Diceros bicornis minor: one gene and its partner. Each later gene encodes a partner of the first gene's protein in a complex. Links are inferred from orthologs where the notes say so. Each region holds a gene or a part of one and is shown in the gene's direction. Other genes may lie near its edges.

Region 1 (3,747 bases):
TAAATTATCTCTTAACGTAGAGCTGAAAATGAAATGTCACTCAACTTAAGGATGATTGAAGCATTGTAGGCCATTCCCATGCTCACGTCTCAGATCACACATCTACTGTATCTATATTTGCAGAAGAGGGACACAGTGTCTAGGGTTAGCTAGAATGAATCCAAGTAATATTGCTTTTTAAAAAATATCCAAATAAAACGAATTGTTTCTATAGCAGTAATTCCCACCTTCGATTCTATATAGTTATGAAAATTTCCATAATCATTTAGGCAAGTATATGGCTATGTGAATGCGTGTTAATCTGGGGCATTTTTCCCCCTTCATAGACCTTGTGACTGGAGCTATTTTACAAATGTTTTTAAATGACTTCTTTTAAAATCAAAGGTGGTACTGTGGAGTTGAAAGCTTAAATACAGGGTCTGTCACTTGATGAGCTGTGAGACCTCGGGCAAATTATCTAACTTGTTTCCCTTTTTTTTTTTTTTAAGAAGTGACTTCTATTTATTTATTTATTTATTTCCCCCAAAGCCCCAGTAGACAGTTGTATGTCACAGCTGCACATCCTTCTAGTTGCTGTATGTGGGACGCGGCCTCAGCATGGCCGGAGAAGCGGTGCGTTGGTGAGCGCCCAGGATCTGAACCCAGGCCATCAGCGACAGAGCGCGCGCACTTAACCGCTAAGCCACGGGGCGGCCCATAACTTGTTTCCTAATCCGTTCCAAGAGACTTAATGACCACCTTAGGGTTAATCCTGAGAATTAAATGAAATAGAAGTCCCAGTCCCTGCCACACAAGAAATACCCAATAAAACTTGGTTTCCCATTACTATCTATCAAACGAAAAACTCACACTGCAAAACTAACGAACGAAACGCTGCGTCATAACGTGAATGCACACCAAGTTCCCGGGCCTGCCTTCTGAACCTCAAAGTGCGCAACCCTTGGAACCTAAACGAAAAGGAATGACTCAAATGGAAAAAGGAAGTTGCGGGGCCTGCATTTCTCCCGAGCCGTGGTGCGCGCAGAGTTGCCTGGTTACCCTCCTGGGAACTCGAAGAAGTCTACTCAGCCTGCGGACCCAGGCCCGCCGGCTCTCCCCACACGCGGGGGCCATCCCCAGCAAAGGACCTCCACCCAGGACTCTGCCCGTCTTGAAGCAGCTGGGCAGTGGAGTCAAATGTCCCTTTGCCGCCGCCGTAGGCCGCGACGCCCATCAGTGCGTTCCTATTGGCTGGCCAGGCTTGGCGCCAAAACGCGGAGGGGAAGCGAGGATCAGGAGCTGTGGGACCGGGAAAGATAGGAGCCGAGAGCGGCGGCCGAGAGCCCGGGGACCGTTTGTCGTGAGAGTGGGCGGCTCACAAGGCCGCGGGACCGGGGCGCGTCCGCCATGTTCTGCGAAAAGGCCATGGAGCTGGTCCGCGAGCTGCATCGCACACCCGAAGGGCAGCTGCCCGCCTTCAACGTGAGGGGGGCAGGGGCAGACAAAGATGGGCGTGCTGGCTGGCGGGGCCTGGAAGCCCCGGGGGCGGGACCGGGGGCGGGGCGGCTTCCCGCGGTTCTTCCTTGCGCCTTACCCGGAGGGTTTACTTTCTCGTGGTGTAAGCTCCAAAGTCGGGGGACAGAAGTTTTGGAACGTGGCAAGACAAAGTATAGGAGGAAAAAGAAAGCACTAATGTTTATGTCACCCGGCGATATTGTGAATTTCCTCCTATGTCTCCCTTAGTGTTCTCCGGTGTGCAGCTCTGCTGCTGTTCCTTTGTTGCACCAAGCATTGATTAGTAGTTGCCTGTGCTCTAGCATTTGTCGTGCACTCGGGCAGCAAAGGGTGGTGATTGAAAGCTAGGCCTGTGGAGCCAGGCTGGGATTCTGGCTCCATCGTGTGGCTTTGGGCGAGTTACTCAAGCTTTCTGTGCTGTTTTCGTCTCTGCAGAAATGGGGCCGATGGGAATAGTACCCAACTCCTGGTATGCTGAGGGCTGATGAGTTGGTGTATGTCAGGCTTTCTGAACAATGCTTGACACCCAGGAACGGCTAAGTCAGTGCTTGCTATTAATTTTCTTTCTGCCACTGCTGCTGCTACTCCTACTGCTCTTATGATTATTCTTATTTCCCTGTTACTGCTACCCCAGTCAGGGTGCTGAGCGCTTGACCTACATTATCTCTCTTTTTTTCTTTTTTTTAATTGAAGTAACATTGATTTATAACATTATGTAAATTTCAGGTGCACCTCGTTATATTTCCATTTCTGTATGGAGTGCATCATGGTCACCACCCAAAGACTAATTATCATACATCACTGTAACCTATATTATCTCTTGTTCTCATGGTAACCCTTTGAAGTCTAAACCATCTTTTATTTTCCATTTTTTTCCAGCTATCTGTTGGAAGCTTGGGGAGATTAAGTGACACAGCCAGTAAGAAGTAAAGCTCAGATTTAAACCCTGGCAGTTTGGCTCCAGAGCCTGAACTCTAGGTTCTATACTTGACTACATCCCCCGTCATAGGGCAGCCACAGTGTGGATGCCAGGGCACATTGTGCTGGGAGTGGGGCACGAAAACAGGTAATAGAATGTAATGTGATAGGTGATGCCGAAGAGGTGTAGAAAAGGAGCACAAAGGAGAAATGCCAGTGTGAGCTAGGGTACAGGAGGGGGCGTTTGAGCCATGCCTAGAAGGATGAGGTCACCACTCTGAGAAGGGAGTGAGGCGTCCCAGCCAAGTGCAGAGACGGGCAATCACATAGCAAAGGGTGACTGAAAGACAGGGTGTGTGCAGGGACTACAGAGGTGGGTTCCAGGCCTGGGAGAGTTTGGTATTCACTCATAAGGCATTTGGAAGCTGGCAGAGGATTTTAGACAGGGGAGTGAGAGGGTAATTTTTTATGTTTTGAGGATAACTATAGCAGCAGCAATATGGGGAATGGATTGGAGAGAAGAAAGAATGGAGGCAGGGAGATCGTTAGTGGGTGGTTAAAATAGACCAGATGATAGATGTGTATGGTCCAAACTGTGTCTGGTCAGTGGGCCCTGAAATCGGTGTCTGGCCTGTATGGGCTTGAGACAAACAAGACTTCTAACTATTAGAACAGAAGTGGAGATGGGGTGAGTAATCAGTGAGGAGGAGGAATCGGGATTTTGGGAGGCGCTTCTCTCAGGTGGCTGAGTAAACCACATTGGAGTTGAGGAGGAAGAGTGTTCGGGGGAGGGTGAGTTTTGTTTTGAACATTAAAGGGCACCTAGTCTGACAATTAGGTCATTTTACAGATGAGAAAACTGAGCCAACAGAAATTATGGATCAAGTTAAGGTACTTGTCTGAACTTACAGCATATTGGAGGAAGAGCCTCAACTTGAACACAGGTTTCCTAGATTCTAGTCTGTTGTTCTTTCAACTTCAGGACAGTTACCTCATTTAAAAAGTCAGGAGACAACAGTGGGAGTTTAGTAGAGATGCTGGAATGCAGAGGTATGTAGGCTCTAAAATATGGCTCCACGCTGGGGTCCGGACAACTAGGCACTTTGGAGTTCATGATGCACATGAGGAAACAAGCCCAGAGAGGCAGAGACTTCTCCAACAGGTGCTGGCTGAGGTGGCCTTGGAACCGGCTCTTAAGACTCTTAGTCCAGCTGGCCTTCTCACTCAAATTTTAAGATAAGTGTTGGTTTACTGCTTTTGGGGAGCCAGGGATGGAACTTAGAAGTTGTAAAATCACTCCTTTTTCTAGGTCTTAGTGTGGTGGGGCACCTTTTG
Region 2 (3,747 bases), on another chromosome or scaffold:
CATATATGTTTTGTTTAGGTAGATTATACTGAGAATATTTATCAGGGCACAGTGAGTCCTAGAGACCTTTGAACATAAACTAATAATTAGTTGGCCGCAATTTCTGCTGTAGAATTACCAGGTGTCTAGTATTAGGCAATCTGGTATTTTAGCTTCCCATTCAGTAAAATCAAAAACACACGCTGGGGCAGTGAGACTGTTCTTTATTGTGCACCGGGTGGTTACATGGATGTATACATAATAAAAATTCATTGAGCTGCACCCTTAAGATTTGTGCATTTTACTGTATATAAATTATACCTCAAAAATGAAACTAAAAAATCTAAACAAACCACAAAAGACTAAAAGCAAGCAAAAAAACACTTGGACATGCAATTTATCTCTTAATTATTTATAATTTCAGATTTGCTATATCTTAATTACTGATTGATACTGGAGTGGCTTGAAACACTTTTTTTGTTTCTCCTTGTGTTTGTCTTTCAATAAACTAAGTTTTTAAAAAAGGTCCTGTGATCTTCCTACAAGGCGAGAAAGCCTTTAACTTACCCATCTGCAAGTAAGATGGTGCAGTAATTTTGTGCAAAGTTTGTTCAACACATGAGGCCATCTCTAGGGGGCGGGGTACATGCCGAAAATTTTTTTCACTTCACCCTCCTCCGCGGTCTGATATTTTTATGGGGTACTTCAGGCAACAGTATTCAGAGAGCAAATGGGTCGCTGAACTAAACAACCCTTCCCAAAGAAGCTAGGATTCTATTTTCCATTCCACGGATTGTCAAAATTCACTTTTTTTCCCCTGGAGGCCAGTTGAGGATAGTTGCTTGAGAAACATATCTAGCACGCCAGATCTGAATATATTTTAAAATAAAATTGCTTTTATGTTTTCATCTCCCTGCATTATGAACCCCCATTCTCTGACTTTCAGCCTGTTCTCAGTACAACCGCCGCGCTGAGTTCATTCACTCTGCGGCAGGTCAGGGGACAGAATATCAAGACTACGACTCCCAGAATGCATCCGGCGCCTTGGGCCGCCCAATGATCAGGCTCCGCGAGCCTCCCTTCGGCCCCATTGGTCAGCTCTCCCGTCAGTGAGGGCGGAGCGGGGAGGGGAGAAACAGAAGGCCCCGGATGGCACATTTCCCGCCACAGCGGGGCGCAGATCGGAAAACGCGAAGCAGCAGCAGCTCTCGATTGGATACTCACTATTCTGGCGTCAGAGGAGTCAGCCAATCAGAATGTTTATACGCTTCCAGAGCCCCCGCCCCTTCCTCGAGGTAACCCCTGGTGGCGGGAAAAGCTCGGAAGTTTTCGCGCCGGGGCGGGGTCATCCAGGGACCCTCCGCGCGGCTCTGGAGGAGGCAGTTCCGAGGCGGCAAGCATGGCGGGGACCGTGGTGCTGGACGATGTGGAGCTGCGGGAGGCGCAGCGAGATTACTTGGACTTCTTGGATGACGAGGTGAGCGAGGCGCCGGGTCGCGAGACTCTGGCGCTTGGGGCCCTTGGGGACGCGGACGGGCCGAGGGAGGCCACGCAGGACGCCGCTCCACGCCAGAGCCGCAGGGCCGGGAGCGGGAGGACCGCCGGGACTCGGCTCAGGAGCCCTCCACCCCGAGCTGGTCACTGTTCCAGCGGAGGAGTCAGTCGTTAGCGGTTTTCCGTAGGGGAACTCTTAGAGAGCGGTCCTGTGACTTTCTCCCAAGTACAGATGATGGCCGGGGCTCGCAAAAATAAAATGGCAAAGCTCCCTTTGACCTTTTAGAAGTCGCTCCCTGCTCTCATAATTTGGAGGGAGGGAGGGGGAGGTAGGGCTGTAGAGCGGTGGTGACCCGCCGCGTTTCAGGGTCCCCAGGTTTTAGTGACTGACTTCCTAATTTGGCCGCGTTCTTTTTCAGTACCAGGTGAGATGCAGAAAGTGTCTGGTATGCAGGTAAAGGGGGTTTTGTGCACAACCCAGTTTGAAAGCCATAGAATGTTGGTAAAGCATCTTGAAGAGTTGATAATGCTGTGTCTGTAAACAAATAGCTGAGGCTCCCAACTCCTTTAGGTCTGGATATGAGAACTCTTTCTGTATTATATACATGATTGGAAAATAAAATATTTTAATTCTGTACATGTCTTAAAAGTCATTTTAATGTGAATATTAAAAGCCCGTTTATTAACATTTTAACAAGCTTCTTACTTACTGTCCTTCTTATTAGTTCGTTTTAATTGCCCATTAAAGGTTGAGAAATGACTACATACAGAAAAGCCGATAATGATAAAAGGAATAATAGCATGGACTTTAAGGAAGTCATTATAATTCCTACGCTGTCCTCTTAGGGTGTGTTTGGAATCTGAAGCTAGTGAGTGAAAATATGGGAGAAATTGGGGTTCTGCTCTGCCGCGGAGATTGACTTATTTATCTTGCTGCGAGAGTTGCCTCTGTTTAAAAACATCTTATTTTTGAATGTGTGGCTGCTGTTATATGTGGTGGCTATTTTGCAGGAAGACCAGGGAATTTATCAGAGCAAAGTTCGGGAGCTGATTAGTGACAACCAAGCCCGGTTGATTGTCAACGTGAATGACCTGCGCAGGAAAAATGAGAAGAGGGCTAACCGGTGAGTGGCAAAGGTTTCCAAGGGGATGTCCTGGCTCTGGGTGAGAATGGCTCCCTTCTCTCTCCCCCCAGAGTGGAACAGGCTTCCCAGGAAAGGACCTGGATGAAATGTTTTTGGCTTAGGAGCCCTCTTTTCCTCACCTGTTCCTATGTTTTTATCTTCTTCCAAAAGTAGGTGGTGGGCATTTTCCTCTCAAGAGCTCCTTCTTCCGTGTTTAGCTGAGTATCATTTCTAAATCTTTGATGAGTTGAATTCAAGTTGGCCCTTGGTTCTGGTCTGTTTTACTGAGTCTTGTAGGATGGCAGGAGAAAGTAGGAGCTACATTTTTCACTCCTTGGCCTTGATCACCTAAGAATGTTCACTTCTGTTTTGAGGGTCAGTTTTTTTGAGCTCTGCCATCTCCGCCTAATTATTCTTTCTCTTGCTCATGTTTAGCCTCCTGAGCAATGCCTTTGAGGAGCTGGTTGCTTTCCAGCGGGCCTTAAAGGATTTTGTGGCCTCCATTGATGCTACCTATGCCAAGCAGTATGAGGAGTTCTACATTGGATTGGAGGGCAGCTTTGGCTCCAAGCACGTATCTCCCCGGACTCTTACCTCCTGCTTCCTGAGCTGTGTAGTCTGTGTGGAGGGCATTGTCACTAAGTGTGAGTGGGTTAAAGTGGGGTCTAAGGGAATGGAGGTGGGATAGAGTTGGGGGTGTGGGAAAGCAGGAGAGGTGGAGTAGAGCTGTGTAGCTTATGCTACACAGCTTCAGAAAGGAGGAGCGTTGAAATTACAGAGTGAAACTCGGAGGAGCTCTGAGTGGCCACAATGATTAGGGGGACTTGAGTGACTGCCTGTGCTAACAGAATGATGAGTTCTACTGAGAGTGGAGGAGTCTTGGCTTTTGGCAGTCTTCTCATTCTAACCCTGAACTCCTGCTGTTTCTCAGTTGGGATCGGTTGTACTTAAAGTTTTACATGGACCTGGTAATGTTCTATATGTAAATATAAAAATGAATAAATGACAAGTATTATTGAAATAGCTTAAACTAGACGGAAGAATACAGTATTTGGAGTCATTGTAGGCTTGCCTGGGCCAGATCCCACCTCTGTAACCGTCTAGTTGGATGACTTCATATGCACATTTTCCATCCCTAGGCTCTCTAGTT

What was found. The genes of interacting proteins can lie anywhere in the genome.
Region 2: GINS1 (region 1) and MCM3 share a complex: the UniProt entries of both Homo sapiens proteins name them as parts of the CMG helicase complex. The link is inferred for Diceros bicornis minor from reciprocal best matches to the Homo sapiens genes GINS1 and MCM3.

The regions. Positions count from the first base shown.
Region 1 is NC_080758.1:51,386,349-51,390,095, forward strand, and holds the start of GINS1 (DNA replication complex GINS protein PSF1), read left to right. Parts: upstream 1-1,280; 5' UTR 1,281-1,386; coding exon 1,387-1,461; intron 1,462-1,603; exon of another isoform or gene 1,604-2,560; intron 2,561-3,747. UniProt on the Homo sapiens protein: Required for correct functioning of the GINS complex, a complex that plays an essential role in the initiation of DNA replication, and progression of DNA replication forks.
Region 2 is NC_080753.1:14,602,078-14,605,824, forward strand, and holds the start of MCM3 (DNA replication licensing factor MCM3), read left to right. Parts: upstream 1-1,319; 5' UTR 1,320-1,378; coding exon 1,379-1,456; intron 1,457-2,484; coding exon 2,485-2,597; intron 2,598-3,032; coding exon 3,033-3,241; intron 3,242-3,736; coding exon 3,737-3,747. UniProt on the Homo sapiens protein: Acts as a component of the MCM2-7 complex (MCM complex) which is the replicative helicase essential for 'once per cell cycle' DNA replication initiation and elongation in eukaryotic cells.